Saccharomyces cerevisiae S288C: one gene and its partners. Changing the gene in region 2 together with the main gene of any one other region gives a genetic interaction. Each region holds a gene or a part of one and is shown on either strand. Other genes may lie near its edges.

What was found.
Region 1: mutations in ENV9 (region 2) and INA1 together harm fitness more than expected from each alone (negative genetic interaction), as found in Saccharomyces cerevisiae (2 studies listed by BioGRID).
Region 3: mutations in ENV9 (region 2) and SND1 together harm fitness more than expected from each alone (negative genetic interaction), as found in Saccharomyces cerevisiae (2 studies listed by BioGRID).
Region 4: mutations in ENV9 (region 2) and ROY1 together harm fitness more than expected from each alone (negative genetic interaction), as found in Saccharomyces cerevisiae (2 studies listed by BioGRID).

The regions. Positions count from the first base shown.
Region 1 is NC_001144.5:948,120-954,392, forward strand, and holds INA1 (Ina1p), read left to right. Parts: upstream 1-3,036; coding exon 3,037-5,064; downstream 5,065-6,273. Other genes in the region: BER1 (Ber1p), read left to right, coding at 249-1,073; YLR412C-A (uncharacterized protein), read right to left, coding at 2,148-2,354; PUN1 (Pun1p), read right to left, coding at 5,234-6,025; YLR415C (uncharacterized protein), read right to left, coding at 6,140-6,273.
Region 2 is NC_001147.6:794,490-798,510, reverse strand, and holds ENV9 (Env9p), read left to right. Parts: upstream 1-1,717; coding exon 1,718-2,710; downstream 2,711-4,021. Other genes in the region: SRL1 (Srl1p), read right to left, coding at 203-835; DGA1 (diacylglycerol O-acyltransferase), read left to right, coding at 3,179-4,021.
Region 3 is NC_001136.10:831,727-838,579, reverse strand, and holds SND1 (Snd1p), read left to right. Parts: upstream 1-3,087; coding exon 3,088-5,721; downstream 5,722-6,853. Other genes in the region: SLY1 (syntaxin-binding protein), read right to left, coding at 1-188; chaperonin-containing T-complex subunit CCT6, read right to left, coding at 519-2,159; UPS3 (Ups3p), read left to right, coding at 6,107-6,646. UniProt on the Saccharomyces cerevisiae protein: Functions in the SND pathway, a SRP (signal recognition particle) and GET (guided entry of tail-anchored proteins) independent pathway for targeting a broad range of substrate proteins to the endoplasmic reticulum.
Region 4 is NC_001145.3:781,410-787,097, reverse strand, and holds ROY1 (Roy1p), read left to right. Parts: upstream 1-2,816; coding exon 2,817-4,478; downstream 4,479-5,688. Other genes in the region: tRNA methylation protein TRM732, read left to right, coding at 1-2,477; PET111 (Pet111p), read left to right, coding at 5,067-5,688. UniProt on the Saccharomyces cerevisiae protein: Non-SCF-type F-box protein involved in the endocytic with the vacuolar sorting pathway. Acts as a repressor of YPT52 by inhibiting the formation of active, GTP-bound, YPT52. Involved in the defense mechanism against methylmercury toxicity.

The DNA of each region.
Region 1 (6,273 bases), on a different chromosome or scaffold from region 2:
AGCTAATACCACCAGGTGTTCATATTCCATGACTGCATATTTGGGAAACGAGACGGTTTGAACATCCTTAGTTGATGTAAAACTATAATAAAAGCTCTATGGGAAGTAAACTATCTGCGGGTCGGGTAAGGAATGATGCTTGCTCGACGTGTAGCGATGAAAAAAGTGAAAACTTATTTGAACTCTAGAAAACTGCTAAGATCCTGAACTGATACCGAAGTTAATGACCTTGACCGGTCTTCTGCTGTATGGATTTTAAAGCAAGTGGGACAAAGTTTAAGAAAACTGGCAAGAAGGTAGTGCCTGCTAAAGCGTTTGAAGAAATTGTTCAGACAAATAGAGATGTTCTGAAAAAATCAGCATTCCTCTCAGATTTACTTGAAAATTTACAACCGCACCTCAATAACATTAAGAAAATACGATGTGTTGCAATTGGAAATTTCAAGGAGGATTTTCCTGCGACGTACCAATTCGCTCTTCTCCTAGAGATTACTGATTATATAAAAAGTGAGGATGAAAGGGATGTCGTTGTTTCCCTGTATGATCCAATATTTACTAAAGAAGAGATACAGTACTTGAAAAGTTTAGGAAGCAAATGGCTGATAGAGGAAGAATTTTCAGAGAACGATGCAATTGATTATGAATCGGTATTATATTTCCTTCCCCATGCTCCTTTGGATTTAACTGAGAACATACTATCGTCACAGCGACCACACTTATGGCTGGCAAATAATATGATATCACACACCGATAGATACACCAAAGCAAAACTTTGTGAAAACTATCCTAATTTAAGCAAGCTAGTTCATTACTTGCAGACTAACGCTCCGCCAGAAGTTAAAAAAGCACATGATGTAGATGGTTTTGCAACATTCATTCCAAAGAGAAAAAGAAAAAACAGAAACAACTCCTCTAAACTCAAGGTCACACCATCTGATATAGACTATGATTCAATAGCACCGAAGTTTAAGTCCTGCCAAATACTCACCGATTTTGATGAAGGAAAGTATTTGAAGGAAAAACCCTGGATCAATTCCTTCTCTGACTTGACGTTACATGCTATAGAGTACTAACATATCATTCACTACATAGTACTTTATAACTAAACTGTAACCTTTCAGGGCATCGTAACCTGACGCTTTACCATCAATAACGACACGAGACCGCTTTATCTATGATACTGGAACAATCAACATGATTGTTATAAATGTACTCGACAGGATCATGAAAGGATACCAACTTAGTTGCCGGTTCATTGAAATGGAAAGCTCAAGAACGTATACTGAAAGAGAGCGACGTCTACTTTGCCCACAAAAATCTACTCTCTGAATTGAATAGTATTTAGAGATTGCATAATTCAAGCCCTCCTCGAGGAAAGGATATAAATGAAAATACCGTTTTTCCTGCTGATGGTTATCGTCCCTGTCAAGGATACTTCTCGGACTCGAACAACGTTACAGCTCAACTTAAAGAAGGCTAAATACGACAAGGGCGCTTGCCCTAAGAGGAACTGTTTCTAAGTTCTAACGAGTGCCTGCGAAGATCGGTTTTTTTTAACTTCGCGGGCGAATTGATAAATAAAGTTCTTCTTGCAATTTTTTAAGATCAAGGTTGGGGCAAAAAGGACGCAAACGAATGGTTGGGTTAAGAAAGTGGAAAGACCCAAACCTGAAGTTCATTTAGTTCTTGGCGGAATGAATCATTCGAACGGCGCAATACGCTCGTCAAAGAAGGAGGTATGATTTATGACGGTTTGTGGGTAGCCCTCTAAACACGTGGAGAGTAACCTTTTCTGTTTAGCGATCCTAGAACTGCGAACAATGGTAGCTATTCGCTTACTCAACAATATTGTTCTTGATTAATGCATTCAAATATGTAACTTCGTCCCTCATATAAGCGTCTGACGCGTCGTGAAAATTTACCCTCTCAAGAAAATACAAGAGATTACGTAAAATTAGAAACCAAAAGATATGAGTGGAACAGACACATATCACCCATATTTCCTTTTCACGTAAGAAAACTTAAGTACTAGTGCGGTGCCTGCGTTAGTGCTTGTCTTTAGGTCAAACAGGTCATCTTGACCAACTTAGCTTATAATAAGAATGATAATCGATTACTCTAAATAGCATTCTTTCATTTGCGGCATCTTATAACCCACACACCGCATTTAGGACCCGTTTTTTTTCTTTTTTTTTTTGTTGAAAAAATTCAACAGTTCCTATTTTTTTCTTTTCATTCTTTTTTTTTGCCTTGCCTTCGTTTCGAGAATTCTTTTTCTTTTTCTTTAGGTAAGGGACCTTCTCAGCTGAGGCACGGTGGGGTTTGTAATAGTGTCCATTCTGGCACAAATGCATAAGTGATGCTAAAATAGTGATACGTCTAAACAAAACGGTTTGGATGCCTAGCAAATAGTAAAAAGACTTGAATATATCACTTTTATCACTATGTAAAAAAACTGAGTTATATTATTAAGTTTTTTTTGAAATGTTCCCGTTTGACGTGTATTTAGTACAGTATGTTCCGTGGATACTGTTTAGGTGCATTTAAGCGCTCCAGAACTCTCCTTTAAATTCCTGCAGCACTCCGTCAGTTGCTTCGTAAATCCGCCTGGATACCGCCTTGAAGATTAAAGTTCCCCTCAGTACTCGTTTAGCTTGAATCCACCGCATTATGGCCTGGTAAATTCCCTAGTTGCTTTTTTCTATACGGCGTCGTCCCTGGAAAAAAAAAACTTGCCTACAGATCTTAGTAGACAAATTTAACTACGTCAATCTATTGTTCTGCTTAAAAAAAAAGTTGAAATTGTTAAATCCTCAACAAACTTATCGCTTTTCAAGCTGCTGCAATCATAGATCTTACACTTCTACACAGAATTTTTTTTTCCTGTAAAAAGAACGACAAAATATATAAACCTTTGACAATCTAGCTGCATTTACTCACATTAAGCCTTGAGATTTTCATTTACTTCATAATAGCTTGTAGATGCGATGCTGATACAGTAAAATAAAAATTCAGTAATACAGTCAAATTATTGCGATGAATTTTAAAATACTCCTCCCGATTTGTGCTTTATTGACACTTACAACATTTCTGTTGACCATTATTGCAACTGCGGGTTCTACCTCAAATTATAAGCCAATAACGAACATTTATATCGGTGATGCTGATATATCAAAAATCAACGTTACAAAAGTTATGCCACAAGTTGGCCCAATTTTGACTGTGTTAGGTTCTGCTCTAACCGCTCCAAATACAACGGTGGATACCATCTTCGGCGCTCTTAAGGCAATCGCTTCTACCGAAGCCTTGTCTCCTTTACTGCACTTGTTGTCTAATGCTGCTAACACTTCAGCCACATTATCATCTTTGACACAGTTGGCTCCAATGGCTTTGCTAGGAACCAATACCGCTACTACCACGACCTTCTCCGCTCTTGATGAGTTATTGACTACCTCTAAAAACACAACCGAACTCTTGGATGGGTTTAGCACATTGATGTCATCTATGTCAACCAACACTTCTTCTACTTCGGCTTCCTTAGAAAATACTGTTCTAACCCTATTAGTGGATTCGACCAATCCTATAGGCACTACTGAGTCTTTGATCACTTTAAATAATATGACCACAGAAGAAAAGACAAAATTGTCGCCTGTATTCGAGTTATTCGCAAGTTCCAAGAACATTACTGCCACATGCGATGCGTTAGAAACCATAATGAACTCTACCATTCCAACTTCAACGGTCTCCTCATTGTTTTCTAGTCTAAAAACCAGTCTTGCGGAAGGTGGCAATGCTACTGAAACTATTATGCAATTAGGCTCCCTCGTTCCTTCGAGTTTAAAACCAGCTGTCCAAGCTGTTGTTACTCTGTTTGATGAAACTACATCTCAAAATGTAACATTATCCGTATTGAGCACTATGATTGCCGAAAACATTACCCAATCATCTTCCGCTAAAGCTGCCATGGGTGCTTTGACTGACTTGTTGAATTACACTACAAACCAAACAGAGCTGCTAACATCTGTCGAAAGTTTGGCCCTCTCTAAAGAAGCCGCTTCCTCTACTAACCAATTGGTGGCACTTGATGAAATCCTTTCTGCAAGTGCTAACGCATCCACAGTTGTTTCCATAATCCCTACTTTGGAATCCCAATTGGCCAATAACACCGTATTACTTAAGTACGTTCCATACTTGTTCAGCCTATTAGCTGCGTCAAGCGACCCCGTGTCAAGTTTCTCTTCTCTGGTTAATATCACCAAATGGGCAGAAACTAATGCCGCTACATTTATGCCCATGTTGAAAATTTTAAACTCTGCTGTAAACATGACAACTATCACACCAGAACAACTCAAGGAAATGACTCCTTCTATCCTTGAATATCTACACATCCCTGTCATATACCGTTTGTCCATTTTCACAATGTGTCGTGCTCACTTAAACAGAACAATGTACTCGTGTAGCAAGTCACACGCTGTTCAAAACATGGATTTCCGGTCGATTGTTTACAACAACATTGAAGGCTCGGACTTTAAACCTTATATGGATGCCCTGAACATCGGTAAGGACGATTTGCATTTAGATGGTGAATTACAAGACAGACAACACATGTATGTCCCAGCAGTGAAAGCAGCTTTAGCTATGAACTTAATGTGCATAATCACATCCTTCTTCTTAATGGTATTCTTGTTGCTACTAAGTAGACGTTCCGTGGTGAGTCAAAAATTATGGTTGGCATTGGGCTTTATTTCCTGTTGGATATGTATTTTCAGCGGGTTGGGAAGCACAATCTTTAGCGTCATCCTTAATATGATGAAATCCGGCTCCAAGAAGGACAATTACGATGTCATTATTTCTGGCTCTTCTCCATTTTATGGCCTAATGTGGTCTGGATTTGTATTTGCCGTCCTTGTATTTCTCTGCATTGCATACTGCTGGTGGAGCAGCAGAAAGGGAGCTGCCATCGTGGAAGCTGAGAAAGCTGTTCAAGAAAGTGACTCTACTACCTCAAGAATCATTGAAGAACACGAAAGCCCCATTGATGCTGAAAAAAACTTTGCAAGGTAAAATAATAAAAAGAAGATCATGCAACATCACCCCGTAAATTTTTTCAATTCTCCATCCTTTTAATTTTCTTCATTATAATTTTCTGAATTGTATATAGACAATATATTTTAATCATATTTAATATGAAACGGAACACAAAAATTAATTAATAACCTTGCCTTTTTCAAATTCAAATCAATGGTTTTTCCTCAATTGGAGCGTTCGCATAGATGACGGTGGGCCTCGATCTCACGCTACACCATAGAATGAAATTCAGTAATGCTCCAACGACAGCCCCCCACATCAAACCCTGGTAGTTCCTACCAATGCTCATTGAAATACCGTAATCACTATAGTTATGCTTTAGGATGTATTTGATGTATGAGTAAGTGCCCAAACACGAACCTATACTGACTAATAGGGCGGCAAAGGCGAAAAATGAAAAAAAGGCACCAAACCACGTTAGCGGCCTTATGTGGATGATCCAGCGCAATACGTTGAACACTAGATTCACAAAGGTCAAGACAATACCAATAAGAATGGTAATGAACATACACTTGACCAAATTGTTGTAGTATGTCATTTTACTTTTTAGTTTTTCGGGCAAAACAACACTGGCCACGGAATCCATAAGCTCCAGAGCCTCATTGTTGTTGATATTGTCATACACTAATGACGATAGGTTAAAATTCTGGATACCGTGAGGCGAAGAACATGATTGGATGTTATGCGAGGAGTCCACTGTACAGTACGACCAAAGCCCTATATTTATATATGAGGGCAGGCCCAACGAAGATAGCGTAGCAGAACTCAAAGAAGGGAGCACCGTCGATACCTTCATCTGCGACAGATCCAATTCTGCACAGTAAATTTTATTTATGGGACTGTAATTTTTCGTTGATCCTGCGCATGCAACAATGGCTAATATAAGTGCTCCTAGCGAAAATATAGCTGCAAAAAATAACGTGAAAAAATTCCTCATGCTTATAGCGTCCTTCGATGATGTGTTTGTTTTTTTCTTAATAGTTCTCTATTGCTTTAATCAAGTTTCACTACTGCGCAGCGTTGTATGATCTTGATCTAGTTTCTTTTAGTTCTACTTCCAAACAACTGGTCCAGAATGAAACACCACTGGACACTCATTGACTACTGAGACATGGAAGAGCAACATTCTCGCGTATATATACTTCTCAGCCAATTTTCCTGCGAGAAGCGCTAAAAATACCGAGC
Region 2 (4,021 bases):
TTTTTTTTTTTCTATTAACAAACAAATGTCCATGTATATATATATAAACGAGAGAAAAATGATAGTGAAAAATAAATACCAGTTGGAACTTAAACTGATGTATTTAGGTAGCAGAAGGATAGAGTTACAGAAGGTGAAATTGTCAATACAGATACAAAAAAGAAACAAAAAGAACTTAAAAGGACACGTTTGAACTCATAATTCACCAACTGGTCGAATTAGTAATCGAAGTGGTGTTGTACCATTGTACGTTACCTGGAGAGGTAGTGGTAACAGAAGGTGCACCGGTGACAGTAACGTATTGTGTAGTCGTATTTGGGGTGACTGTAACGTACTGGGTAACGGGCTCATTGGTGACAGTGACAAACTTTGTGATTGGGACGCAACCATTGGAAGTTGAAGCCTGTTCAAAGGACTTGACCTTTGCATCTTTGTTGTTTGAATCTTCGTCACTGACACTTGCTGCAGTAGATGATGGAGACAAAGTAGTGGAGTCATGAAGGGTTAGCAGCAAAGTGGACGTGATAGTCGAGGTGGAGGTAATTTCATGGGTGGATTCTGGGGTTACAGATCCAGAGGCCGAAGAGGTGGACAAGGAGGAGGAGGCCGCATTGGTAATGGTGGCTGAAGTTGAGGTGAACCAGCTCGTGGAGTAGACCGTTGAGGTGACAAAAAAGGTAGTGGTGTCGTCGGCGTACGATATGGTAGTCTCTTGGGGCACCAAGGAGTAGCTGGGCGCTAAAGTGGTAGTTGTAGAAACAGTATTGTTTGAATAAATCGCTGACACAGAACTTGCGAAGGTTAAAAGAGCGAAAAAGACAACGGATTGAAGCATTTTTTTATTTTTGGTTGATAAAGAACGACTAAGGTGAGAGTGAAAGTGATGTGATTTTTAATTATGTAGTGTAATTGAAACAATAAAAAAAAAACAAGGGAATGGACGAGACCTATTAATGGGTACTATGGCTCAAATAGCAAAAAAAATTTGTAAAATGGGTAAAAAAATGAGAGAAATACGCGAGAAACCTCTTGGTTGGATGTTGTGCTAAACTAGTTGCTTAAACGCTTGCAAAACTTTTTTATAGATAAAATATGCCAAGTGAAAAGAAAAGGAAGCAGAAGAGAAAAACTTAGAAAGGTAGAGGTAAGAAAGAATAAACCAAAATGTAAGCTAGGTGAGGGAAATATTTTGGAGCTTAAATATCTCGAACGACACTCACTCTCGTCAGAAAAATCTGTCGAGTAACTCAGACCACCTCCGATAGCATACCTTGTTTAGTTTCATAATCGGCAGAGACGTCATTCCTGCACAGAACGCCAAAATTCGTGGCCCCCGCGGTACCTGAATCAGGGCCAAGAATTTTGGCGTTTCGTGTTGTTGACATATTCCGAAAAAGGTATTGAGCCACAGGTCTTTCGCGTCTTCTAAGCCCCAAGATAAAGAAAATGCCGCCCTGCTTAATCACTGTTTTTTTTTGGAAAACCCTGAAGTATAGAAGTAGGGCATTGAAAGAAAAGATATGCGGGTAAGATATGAAAAAATTGAGGAAATGAGACCCAAGTGTACATGGGTATATATAAACAAATCATTATGGTGCATGATGCATCACTTACAATGCACACACACTATTGTCTTTGTAGAAACGGGGAAGACAATGGTTGTAGGCCTGATTGGTATTAGAGGCATCCGCAGTACGAGACATACGCCAAAGGCAGAATGTTAGACCCACGAATATTGCCATACTACGACCCGGCTGTGGAGAGGAAGATTGCTGTAGTAACAGGCGGAAATACGGGTATTGGGTGGTATACTGTCTTGCATTTGTATTTGCATGGGTTTGTCGTTTATATTTGTGGGAGAAACTCTCACAAGATTTCGAAAGCAATCCAGGAGATACTGGCAGAAGCAAAGAAGAGGTGCCATGAAGATGACGACGGTTCAAGCCCAGGCGCGGGCCCAGGTCCAAGCATTCAGCGTCTAGGGTCACTGCACTATATCCATTTGGATTTGACAGACTTAAAATGTGTGGAGAGAGCGGCACTTAAAATTCTCAAGCTGGAAGACCACATAGACGTGCTTGTTAACAATGCAGGGATTATGGCGGTGCCCTTAGAAATGACGAAGGACGGATTTGAAGTGCAATTGCAGACTAACTACATTTCGCACTTCATCTTCACGATGAGATTATTGCCTTTACTGCGCCATTGTCGTGGCAGGATCATTTCCCTGTCCTCGATAGGCCATCATCTAGAGTTCATGTACTGGAAACTGAGCAAGACGTGGGATTACAAACCTAATATGCTTTTCACATGGTTTAGGTACGCGATGAGTAAAACCGCGCTAATCCAATGCACGAAGATGTTGGCCATCAAATACCCTGACGTTCTTTGTCTCTCCGTTCATCCGGGTCTGGTGATGAACACAAACTTATTCAGTTATTGGACAAGGTTACCCATCGTCGGTATTTTCTTTTGGCTGTTGTTCCAGGTCGTAGGGTTCTTTTTCGGCGTATCGAACGAACAAGGTTCACTAGCTTCTTTGAAGTGTGCATTGGACCCGAATTTATCTGTCGAAAAAGATAACGGGAAGTACTTCACCACGGGGGGTAAAGAATCTAAATCGAGCTACGTTTCTAACAATGTCGACGAAGCGGCATCGACTTGGATCTGGACCGTTCATCAACTAAGAGACCGTGGTTTCGATATATAACAAGACGGAAAGATTGAAAGAGTAGATAGATGTACATTTTATTTAAATATTAGTTAGTCGTTATTGTAACTGGTAATCAGAGCAAGAAGTTTTTCTGTACTTTGTTCTCTGCAGGCAACTAAGTTACGGGCCGACAAAGGCTTATGATGTGCGTTTTTTATTCAATTGATAGATTCAGTCAGCATTGACGTAATGGGAAGGCTAGAAAAAGAGAAGACTGAATTTGGAAACTTATTCCTCAAAGCAGACCAGTACTTCCACCGCATTTCTGTACTTAACCAAGCACGACAGTGGTCTATCAGGCTTGGATCTTTCACTACACTTCCGCCAAAGTTTTTTTTTTTTCCTGTTTATCCCAGATCACGTTTGTTCCATTAAGGAGGTTTACTATCATCTCATTTCCATTTACACATACACTTACATATACATAAGGAAACGCAGAGGCATACAGTTTGAACAGTCACATAAATGTCAGGAACATTCAATGATATAAGAAGAAGGAAGAAGGAAGAAGGAAGCCCTACAGCCGGTATTACCGAAAGGCATGAGAATAAGTCTTTGTCAAGCATCGATAAAAGAGAACAGACTCTCAAACCACAACTAGAGTCATGCTGTCCATTGGCGACCCCTTTTGAAAGAAGGTTACAAACTCTGGCTGTAGCATGGCACACTTCTTCATTTGTACTCTTCTCCATATTTACGTTATTTGCAATCTCGACACCAGCACTGTGGGTTCTTGCTATTCCATATATGATTTATTTTTTTTTCGATAGGTCTCCTGCAACTGGCGAAGTGGTAAATCGATACTCTCTTCGATTTCGTTCATTGCCCATTTGGAAGTGGTATTGTGATTATTTCCCTATAAGTTTGATTAAAACTGTCAATTTAAAACCAACTTTTACGCTTTCAAAAAATAAGAGAGTTAACGAAAAAAATTACAAGATTAGATTGTGGCCAACTAAGTATTCCATTAATCTCAAAAGCAACTCTACTATTGACTATCGCAACCAGGAATGTACAGGGCCAACGTACTTATTTGGTTACCATCCACACGGCATAGGAGCACTTGGTGCGTTTGGAGCGTTTGCAACAGAAGGTTGTAACTATTCCAAGATTTTCCCAGGTATTCCTATTTCTCTGATGACACTGGTCACACAATTTCATATCCCATTGTATAGAGACTACTTATTGGCGTTAGGTATTTCTTCAGTATCTCGGAAAAACGCTTTAAGGACTCTAAGCAAAAATCAGTCGATCTGCATTGTTGTTGGTGGCGCTAGGGAATCTTTATTAAGTTCAACAAATGGTACA
Region 3 (6,853 bases), on a different chromosome or scaffold from region 2:
GTGCTCTTGATGTCCAGTATCAACACCTTCCAGATGATCTCCTGCTGGTTAAAAATATCGTCTGTGATGGTGGTGATGTTGTCGTTGTTGTTCAAATCCTTATTTAAAAACAGCATTTTTAATATGGCAGAGATTTGCATATCTCTTAAACTAATGTCCTTGCGGGACGCAATTTCCTCCACAGCCATGATGTTGTGATTTTTGGTCAAAGATACTTAGCAACTGGCAATGACTATTATAAGTTATCATGTCAGGTTATTAAAGGCTGAGTTAGAATGGTGCTTCTTTTTTTTGTTTTTTTTTTGTCGTTTCTGCAATTACTGTGGTCAACGCGAAGAGGGAAACGGTGTTCTTTGGCAAAAATTGGTATGATATTTTATATAATAAATGTATATATACAAAATATGATGATGATGATAGTGACTGGAAAAAATATGTTACATAGAATTTTTGTATCTGACTACTATTACTACTAGTATTCGTGTTCTTGTTATTATTATTATTATTATTATTTTTTATTACTGTGGTGTTTCTTTCAAAGTGGATCTACCTGCCCTTAACAATTCATCGCATAATAACAAGTTGCTGGCAATACCTGTAGCACCGGTAATAGCATTTCTTAGTACGCGGTAGGAATCCCAAATACCCTCGATGGTAGGGTCGCAAGAATCACCTATGTTCAAGTCCACACCAACATATCTCGTTTCGTCAGAATCCTGAGCGTCATCCAACTCGTCCTCCACCATTGCGAGCACGTCCAATGGGTCGAATCCTGAGTTCTTCACCAAAGTCTTTGGAATTACCAGCAATGCTTCTGCGAACGCCTCAATACCTGTCTTTGTTTTACCCTTGGCACCCAACTTGTTCATGTTGGCAGATCTTAGGTATCTCGAAAGGGCGATGTAGAACGCACCAGCGCCTGGAATGATGTTTTTGTCCTTGAGAACGTTTGCCACAGCTCTGAGACCATCTCTCACCGCATCCTTTGTTTGAGCGAGGGCATAATGAGTGGAGCCCTTGATTAAGATGGTGCAAGACTTGGGGTCAGTGTTCTCTGTAACGTATGTGAATTTTTCCTCGCCTATGGTTTCTTGGTAGACCAAGCCAGAAAACCCAAGAATCTGAGGCGACAAGTCTTCCACAGAGTTCTGAGCTTCACCGCCAGTGACCAATTGCAATCTTTCCATGTTACGTCTCTTGGCCCTTCTCAAAGCCAAGATGTTGTGTTTGGCAAACACGTCTAAAGACATGGGGTCAATGCCTTTTTGGTTAATGATAACAAAACCCTTGTCTGGATCCATGCCACAAACTTCGTTTTTCAAGTCGATGATCTTCTTCAACTTGGCATCCACAAACTTCCTCTCACTAGCGGCCAACTTGTCCCTTTGGTCCGCAGAACTGTAAAAGAACCCAGAGTTAACTTCAGTCTTCTCGTATTCCAAAGATACGTTCAAAATCAAAACATACGCGTTCTTCACACGGGTGGGCATGTCAGGATGCCTACCACCGTGGTCCAATACCAAACCCTTAATAAAAGTGGTATCTTTAGGAGACAAGTGCTGCATCTGCATGATCTCAACCATGTGTAAATCCAAATTGTCAGCCTGCGCGTCGTACACGCTTAGCACCGCATCCGTTACAATGGGCGTCAAGACCTCCGTCAAGTCAGCGTCCACCTTGGTTAGCAGCGACGACCGGGCCACTTGCAGAAGGAACTCTCTATCATTGGAAAGGTTCGTCTTACTGATCTTGAATTCGTCCAAAAATTTCATGGACTCCTTCCGCGCAATCTCAAACCCATCAGTGATGATCCGCGGATGCACGCCCTCTTGAATGAAACGGTGCGCTTGTCTAAGCAATTCACCCACAAGACACACAACCGTCGTGGTCCCATCGCCCGTGATTTCATCCTGCGCGGCAGCTGCCCTAGCAATCAGTACCGCTGTAGGCGACTGGATCTGCATCTCGGTCAGCAACACTTTACCGTCCTTGGTCAGCTTGATGTTACCAGCACCATCCACAAGCATCTTTAGCGTGCCCTTAGGGCCCAAGTTGGTCTCTAGGACGGATTGTAAGCCCTCAGCAGATGTGACGTTAACCTTCAAAGCCGCATCCCTTCTCAACGATTCAGCCTTCGGATTCAACAATTGCAATGACATGCTTCTACTCTACTTATATTATAATCTTCTGCTTCTCACTGCTTCCACACCCTTAACCTTTACCTTTTCCACACACTGCACACATACACTGTTATACATAATCCTTTCCGTCTTTCGTTCGTTTCTTACCAGAATAACAACTACTAACACATCACCGAGCGAAAATTTTGCCACCAAAGCAAAACTCCCGTAAACAGTGATCCACGGCCCGTATCCATTCTGCCGCAGAACCCACACCTCTCACTCTATCGAAAAACAGCCTACTCCCAGGGTCCCCAAAATGAAAGCTCACTGCAATGGGAAACGATAATCACAACAAGGGAATGCAATTAAAGAAAGATATACGGTACACGAAAGGGAGAAGCGACGGCGTTAACCTATTTGCAAACGACCGAGTCAGACAGCTCAGGTCCAGTCACGTTAAAGTGGGTTACTTTGAGCTGAGGTGTGCGGTTGCGGGGCGTGGGTGTGCGCGCCGTTGCCATGCTTACCGTTCTCGTTGCGCTCGTTGCTCGTATTGCCTCGTCTGTTCTTGTCTCGTAGCTTTTTTATTATTTGGGTTAATCGCGTTGTTGAACAAGAAAGTATGATAGTTGTTGAACCGGCCCCTCGTCCCGTTCTATCTTTCTACGGGTGTCGTGTCTATTATTTTATTGTTTTCCTACTAAGGTTCTTTGCTATTGTTCTTTTAATTTTTGGTTTGTAGCTGACTACACGTTTCAAACCCAATCTTGGCAGCCCGGATCTTCATCACTCAGCTTTTCCCTACTTTTTTTTTTTTTCGTTTCCTTTTTCTTCTTTTCTTTTTCTATTTAAGAGAGAAGTTGGCGAACTTGAAGTACACATACACGCTCTCCCTCGCATCCCGGAGCTCGCAATCAACCACTATTACTAATCACATCCTAAATTTTGGGAAGCCTACACTACGATGGACACTGTCGGTACGGACGCAGCAGCCGCGAGCATTAATGAGCGTCGCTTTGCCCAGTCCACTTCACCAAAAGTTAGTGTGAAGTCACAGGACTCGCTGTTTCTGATCACTTACTCCAACATGCAGCAGACAGTGGTACAAGCGTCTTTGGCGGACCGGTACCCTTCGCTAAAGAAGCTTAACATCCTACTTTACATAGATATCCCTACGATCGACTACTACAACGATGAGATGACTCATAACAAGCTTTCCAGACTGAATAAACGGTTTAAGCTGCATCGGCTTAGAAATTCGATCGCGCAAAGTTTTTCCAACACATCTACTGCGGAAGATAACGATAAGTTTTGGGAGGAGTTGAAAAGTCTGATCAGCTCTCGCAGCACACCGGAAAACAAGTTTGATCTGAATGTACTGGTGTCGTCTTCGGGGTCTTTACGTTACGTGGAGACCATAAGATTTTTGGTTGAAAAATTGTTTAATTCTTTCAAAGACTTGTATGTTCAAAAGAAACTAAACCTATGTTTCCAGATCAACGTTTCTCCCACCTCTCTCAAGTGGTTTTCTACTTTCCTGAACGCAGAACTGCTTAATTTAAAAATCATTAATTGGCAGAATATTGGTTCTTTCACTAAGACAATCCAGAACTCCAAGTCACTCCCGTTCAAAGAGTACTACACCAAGTTGAACGAGAAATTCACCGGCTCAAACCAGAGCAATGGTAGCATGCAAGACCAGACTGTCTTGGATTCCATAGTTATTGTCACGAATAGCACGGGGGTAAAAGCACTGCTGACTTTGTTGTCAGACCACCCTCTCACCAGCCTTATCTCCCAGGAATCAATAAAAGCGCTACATGAATATTCAGATGCTGTTAACGAAGATAAGGGCGACGACCAGAGCAACACAAGTTTGAAAAGAAACTCTTCGTCGTTGTTGAATTTTCAAAACTCGGTTTTAACCTCCAATAAAGACAAGTCCGTCAGAATTAGGTCGTTGTCTATCAACAGAAAATCCAACAGGGCACATATGTTCAAAACGAACGAATCCATCACAACTATCCCATCAACGTCAATCAACAATCTTATTGGTCAGGAATCCAACCTACGCAAGCAGCCTTCGGGAACTGCACTGCATTTACAATCGCATCTGCATCCACATTCCCGTTCACAATCCTATTCTAGTTCTAATATGTCCAGATCGCCTTCTCCCTTCCCCTACGGAAAGACACCATCAAACGACGAACTAGTATATGACGAGTTAAACAACCAAATCAACGAAGTGCAAGACCGTGCTAAGAATGAGGAAATTGTCCTGTACAACAATAATAATTATGACGATTATACAAAAGAACGAGGGGAACAAGAGCAGGATAGAACCTCATACGCAGATGAATATGGCTTTAATTACGATGATGAAGAAGGTGGAAATGAAGACAACTATGATGATGATGAAGACGATGATGACGATGATGACGATGACGATGAGAGTGACGATGAAGGTTTGAGCTTTTACGCTCCAAGCATTTTGTCCCGCTCTGGTTCGAGCACAGACGTGTTATCCTCCGGAATAGATTCTATGGCAAAAAATTCGAAGGAAACAAGGGGTAGGTTTAGGTCCTTGAGTTTAATGGACCCTGCTCTGCAAAAGCCGTTCAACCAGAAATTTCCAAACAGCCAACAACCCGATTCTGCAGGGGCTTCATCACCTAAAAGATCGACCTCTTCAAACCATTTTACTAACGTCTACGTGCACGATGGTGATTTTGACGGGACAGACACTATCAACAACAAAAAGAATCTATCGTCTGCAACGCTTATTAAAAGGAAATCTTTGATGAACAGAAACTTGGCTCCTTCTATTAGTAATGGATTGATACCTCCGGAATTTATTTCCCGAATATCTACGCCCTCTACAAGCGCAAGTAGTTCAAACTCCTCGTTGAATGACATGTCTACAGTATCAAACGCATTTTCCAAATTATTAAATGACACAAGTAAGAAGCAAAAATTCTTGAATTCACCAATTCCACAACATACACAACAGGCATCTCCATTACTAATGAGAAATAATTCAAACAGTAACTTGCTATTTGAGAAGAATTTGATCAACAAGTCATTTGAAGAACTGAGAAGACAACCATCAGTTAACCTTTTTAGCACCTTGATGAATGGTAACATGGAAAAGAATGGTTTGGCACTAAACTTCAAGTCCAGAACGCCTACAGATGCGTTGATGGCGAATAGCATTAAAAATAGTAACAATTCCAGTCATAGGTTACTAAATCTCGAGGAAGAAGACCAAATCATGTCTGGATCTCTCCCCAAAGAACGCGAGGACGATAACGATTCGACTAATAGCACAATAGTACCGAATCACCCAGACAATGATAACTATAATGATAATGATAACGACAATAATACTGGTATAAATTCCAATAATTTCAATCTAAATCTCTATGATGACAATGATAGTGCAGGCTTTACAGATGTAACAACTGAAGGAGTGAAATACTCAAACTCGAATTCTACAGTCACCAAACCCGTTTATAAAAAAGCCGTCACCCTGGATTTATACGGCGAAGATGATATGGATAACATGGGAGGATGGGTATTAGGAGGTAATGCCCGGTAAAATAATCACCTGAAAAAAACTAGGTTAAGCACAAGGCAAGGGAAAAAGCCAAATTACACATATACTTGATTATAAATAGATTAGTAAAACATATATTCTAAATTAAAACAGCACTTTAACCGATATTGTATTTTTTTTTTTGGGTTTACGTGATACTGCGTAAATCTTCAATTTTCAGGGCTTTGTCCGCAAGGGGCCCGTTTATTTATCAAAAAAAGTAATGAGATTTTCGAAGAAAGTTCATAAACCTATAGATCTTGTTACATTTGGCAAGAAAACAATAAGTGGGATCTGCGGTCCAAGCAACGCATTTTCTTTTCTCTAATCGACAAGTTCAAGTAAATATTTCTATTAGTCATATATCTCTCGAGCTTATATATTAATAATGAAATCATTTCAAAAATCTTATGAATTCGATTACCCATGGGAGAAAGTCACCACGGCGAACTGGATGAAATATCCAAACAAGATCTCCACACACGTTATTGCAGTCGATGTGCTCCGCCGAGAGCTCAAAGAACATGGCGATGTACTTCTTACAGAACGGCTGATAACCATACGTCAGAACACCCCTCACTGGATGTCCATTTTAGTGGGGAACACTAATTTAGCATACGTGCGAGAGGTCTCCACCGTTGATCGAAGGGACAGATCTTTAACTATGAGGAGTTGCAATATGACCTTCCCGCATATTTTGAAGTGTTACGAAACCGTACGTTATGTTCCTCATCCGAAAAATCCATCGAATGTGACTCTTTTCAAGCAGGATGCAAAGTTTCTGTCTGGTGTTCCGACCAAAACCTTTAGTGAGAAAGTAGAAAACTGGGGCGTTAAACGTTTTAGTGATAACGCGGTGAAGGGGAAAGTCGGGTTTGATAGTATTCTAGCAATGTTCAACGATATCTGGAAAAATGCTAACGAATAAAAAAAAATACATCTTTTCTCAAGCATTTTTTCTCAAGCATTTTTTCTCAAAAAAATAAGGATTTATAGCCTCTTTGCATATAACTACACTCAGAAACTCAAAAATAAGTGAATAGATTAATTTGCCAAAATAGTTTCTATAGCGTGTCTTTCTCTTTTTGCAAACTCGTGTCATCTTGATATAAATCAAATATTTTCTGTCATTTTT
Region 4 (5,688 bases), on a different chromosome or scaffold from region 2:
TAAGCTTGATTTTGAATAAGTTTAACTCTGAAGAAAACCATCAAGATACTTCAAAAATAATCTCAAAATTAATAAATCTTGTACTCAAGAGCTGGGAAGCAACGAGAAATGTAGTGTGTCATGATTCTGCCCATGGAATACTACCTGAAAAATATGCTAATTGTGGTGTACCGGACCAAGTTATAATAAGTCACGCATTTAGGGCGATAAAAGAAGCATCATATTTACTTGAAACAATATTAAAAAAATACCCTTTAACAAGAGATCAATTAGACAGTATCGGCGATCTTTTTATTGTTCAGCTTTCTACTATTCGTCATAGTGGCGCCTTCCAAGCCGTTTTACCGGGGCTAAAGGCATTTTGTATTCGTTGTCAACTTGAATTTCCCGCTATTCTGGAAGAACTTTTAAGCAAGAGTGTAAAATCTTTAAAATCCAAAACTCAACATATTACAAGAAGGTCAGGAGGCTTGCCTTTCTTGGTCACAACCGTCTTAAGTGCAGAAGTTACCAAAGGGAGACCTTTGTTACAAAAAACTTTTGAAAACTTACTACTCGTTGCAAGGTTACCAATTCCTCCCCATCAAGATGAGTTTGATTTACCACAGGTTAATGCTATTAATTGTATAAACGCAATCTTTGTTGAACCGAAGCTCTCTGTACACTGTACGTCATTTGTCTCAGAGGCATTAGAACTAGCTTTATTGAATTTCGACTGTGATATATGGGCTCTAAGAAACTGTTCTATCATGCTGTTTACCTCCTTGCAAAATAGAATTTTTGGAAAAGTGGGCAGAAGCGTTAGTGCAAAATTATTCTTTACCAAATATTCTGGCTTGAGGCAACTGCTTTTGAATATTCTAAACAGTTCTATTGCTCAATATTCGGGAAGTGAAAGAAAATCATATCAAATTGAAAGCATTTTCTTGGTCCTTAATGTGCTACTGAGGTTACGGCCTACAGCTGGCTATACTGGTCTAAAAGAATTCAACGTTTCTGTTTATGAATGTTTATCAAATGAGAACTGGAAGATCAGAGATATGGCCTCTAGAGTATTGCATATGCTGTCGGAAAATTTTGAAGAAGAGATAAGAAAATTACTTGACTTGGCTTCTATCGCGAAGCAAAACCAGTTACATGGACACTTACTAGCACTCCAACAACTAGTACCACAATACCTTTCAGGAACTAGAGATATGGAGTTGATTCAAAGGATACTTGAAAAGAAAAGGATGCTTCTACTAGAGAACAAGTGCTTTATCACTAAAAAGGCCTACTTAAAATTGACCTGCTGTATATTGGAAACATGCGACATACCTGATTCTATTTTAAAAGATTATATCAGCACTTTGCGGAACACATTTATTGCTGAAAATAACGAATATGTTGTGGATGGTAGCAAACAGCTATATCTTGCACAAATCTTAGACATGCTCTTAAAATATGAGGATAGTATATATCTCGATGATATTTGCTTATTAGGATTGTATTCTCCATTTTATGAGGCTCAGCTCAGTACACTACAGTACATGAATACTAACTTTCACTGGGAAACTACAAGAAACTCAGAATTTCTTGAACAACTACAATTATTACTCAGGGTTCCAGATTTGCTGCCTATGGCTAAAGCTTTAGTAGTGAAAATTCTCTCAAGAAAAAAGAATACTTTATCCCTGACGACCTGCACTGATCTCCTAAAAACAAATAATAGTGAAGATACAAAACTTGCTGCCGTTTCATCACTAAGTGCTAAATTGTCTTCGCAAACCTTTCACCAGGTATGGAACTTGTTACAAGGATTTTTCGCCGATTCTTGTTCAAAAGATTTTAGATTGGCATCTTTAGAATGTTTAACTGCTTATCCAGAAAGTTGTAAGAACTCCAGAATACTATTACAACTGTACAACTTCTTATGGGACGATGATTCTGAAATAAGAGAAAAGGCTTCTTTTTATTTGAATAAGAACTTTATTCAAACTGCAGACTGGGAATATAACAGGAACACCAGTGTGACCGCTCTTATATTCACAAAAAAGTTTGTTGACGTATTCACAAGTTCTGAGGTGGTAGAAGAGTTGTGTTTACAGTTGTTTCAATATCTAAATGAATATGATATGTTTGCTGCCGAAGAATCGGCGAAGAATTGTCTATTTACTATAGAAAAGGATAACCAGTTCATCAACGAACTACAAAAGGCAATGCATATATTAAATATGATAAAATTGACTGGAAGGGATATCTCAAAGTGTTACAAAGACCAGATACATCACCTAAAAAGTGCTCTATTGGAGCACTTCAACACCGAGGATTTTAAAGATTCCCCACTCGGCTGGTGCTCTAATGCTGAAATATTTTCAAGAATAACGCTTTTAAAGGAACTGATTCAACATTATTCTCCTTCTGATTATGAGAATTTTATCAATGTTCTGACTAAACATTCTGTTCATCCCCTAATTATCAGTTATTCCCAATTATAAATAATGAATATGTACAGATATATACTTTGCATATAATCTGATTCATCTCTAACCTACTTGTGGATTTAGTGACGAGATTCATTGTGGAACCTATTACAAAGCATGTCGATTTCTATTCTAAATACAATGATGGAACTTGATTTAATTTCTTTACCGTTGTCATTTTCTTTTGAATTTTTTCCACCTCTTTTTTTGTTGAAAAATGTTCATGGATGGAAAATTAAAGGTGTGCCCTATTACAAAAGCAAGTTGTACCCCTTTACTAACTCTCTAGTCAATTTGAACTATTGTGAAAACGACAGTTGTGCTCACATGATATAACAAAAGTAATACTGACAAATGGCATTCCAAGATCAAGATATATTCATAGTGTTCTCGCATGCCTCCTTATTTCTTAATCAAAATGATTTATTAAGCCTAAGTCTAACATCCAAAAAAATGCATGACATGATTGCAATCCCTCGTCTTTATAGCAATATTCACATAACTAAGAATCCTGTTTTAAGAACAAACAAATGGTTTTTGGACGGGGGAAAAACTTATGTAAGTGGTTATAGATCTGTTCTGAAAACCGGTGACAAGAATGACATATTTTTATATGATAGAATTGAAAGGTTGTTGGAGACATCGCATTTAAAATGTATAAAACAGCTGACTATTGACGAGGATTTGTTTCACAACAGGGAAGAAGGATTGCAACTGTTACAAAGATTGGTCAATGAAATCACTGACTTGGACGTGATTGAAAGTCTTGACATCAAGGATCCTACCTTGTTTGAGTTATGTTCAGCAAAGTATTATCGCCTGTCAAGTTTAAAGAAGAGAGTAGTATATGGCGAAACTGGATTTGATGGTATCAAATTATGGCAAAACTTCAAAAGCTTAAAATGGCAATTACCTGAATCGTTGGATTTGCAAAACGTAATAATCCCTGAAGTGGGTGTAATGTTAATGAAGCAACTTAATGGAGGAGAGTTAGAAATAAAGGACGAAGCGTACTCAAGCCTAAGGGTCTTTGAATACTTTGATTCCCTGAACCTCCGCTTCAAGAATCTGCGCCGTTTGAAGCTTAATCATGTTCACAAACAAGGTGATGGGAGTGCTACTTCTATGAGATTATCTTCACGCGCGTTTAAGGATGTAGTTAATTTATCCAATCTTAAAGCCCTTGAATTAGAATTTTCTTGTGAGGTGGACGACTGTGAATGTGATGATGACTTTCTTCAAGATATAACAGGAAACCTTGTTTCCTTAACAAGTCTGGGGTTCATTGAAAAGACATTCACCAAAAAAGGGTACCATTACATGGACGAGAAATGGGACTTGGTCGTTAATAAGTTTATTTTAAATTTACCAAACGTGAGTAAAGATTTGCGTTTGTTAAGCATACGACATGACCCACCTTTAAATGGCAAGGGCATTGATACTGTTGATGGGAACTTGCTTCGCCGTAAAAAACTTTATGAAAAGGTTTTACCAAAGCTAACTTCGTTGGAAACAATAATAGCTCCAACTGTATTGCAGTCCATCACCTCATATGAAATGTATGCGTGTGACCTTTTGTGGAACGGCTGCAAATGTGCGTTCTGCTCCAAATACTTACCATTATTTGATAAGTACATCATGAATCATCAATACTTTTCGACCCCGGATGCAAGATACTTGGATATTATACCGATAGTGTTTGCAGCATATACTGGAAAATCTCTAGCTAAGAGGTTTGATCCTCAGAAGAACTGGGATTTGGATTTACTACAGTATGCCCCTGAGGATACGACGTGGAATTTCCATGGCTTTGAGAGAATTCATCACTTTGCAAGTTATGAATGTTATTTTGACGAATCCTCATTTGAGCCCTTAGCCACTATTATATCGCATTTTTTTTATCCTTACATGAACTACTTGATAAAGATATTGCCAAACCTTCGCCAAACTATGTTGTCAGGAATATACTTTAGCGTGAGCCCAGAATTACACACTTATGAAACTATTTATGATTAAACTTGATAGTTGTGATAAACATTTCTTATGTACATTTGTTGAAGGAGTTCGTATATATACAGCCAGTTGAGTAATAATTATATTTTACTATTGCATTTCATAATTATTACCCGGACCTTACGAGTTCTTCGAATAATAACCATATATTTCAGAAAGGTAGGCATACCGAAGGAAGAGACAATGAAAAAACTGAAATGAACAAGCTTCTGTATACGATCCAAGGATCAGAAACGGTTGTTATTTATTGTTTGGACTTCTTGTTGTTAGGCTTTATTTACCGTGCATAATACTATCTGATACTTTGAGAAACCCCTCCCCCCACAGAAAGGTTCAAAATTTACAATTGCTGCACTAGGTCTACACTTTCCTCTAGATTTGTAACTTGAAGACCCCATTCCAATCGTTTAACCTGTCTTTCCTTTTATTATCGTTTTATTCTCTTCCTTTTTTATAAAATTCTATCTGGTATAGAGCATTTTTATGTTGATCATAACTTTTCATGTATTCTATTAATTACACCACAACTTTGATATCGTCAAATTTTTTATCACTACCTATTAAATTTAAACAATTGCTTACGAGAACTTAATGTTACAACGGAGATTTATATCCTCCAGTGGTATAAAGAGATTACTTCACAGAGAATCAAACAAGGTTATGCACACTGTTTTCTTTAAAGTACGATATTACTCAACTGAGTTGATCAAAAAAAAGCATAAGGAAGATATTGAGGATTGGGTTAAAGCGCAACTAAAAGATTCTTCAACAATAAGCGGTGTGTATGAGTCTCGGAATAAACTCGATTGGATGGACTCCATTACCAAAAGCCCCAGCAGCTTAGATATTCTTAAGAATCAATATAATATAGTGAAAGACAAAGATTTTGGAATATTGTGGAAGCAAAAATTCGAAAGTGCAGATCCAGATATTTTGATGACAATAATTAGCCTTTCCACTAACCAAAAGGTTTTGTTTTCAATACAGCAATTACTGATCTTAATAAATTCTCTTCACTTTTTGAAAAGGGACTACGATATTGGACAAATATACACAACATATGAGCAATTCACGCCCTTATTAGCAAGCCACACTGATAAAGGCACATATGGTCAGTTCATCGAAATTATGTTGGTAGTACAGCATAATTTACATCATTTTGATGTCTGTGAAACTTTATTTGCAGAATATATCAAATATTGCAAAGTAAAGC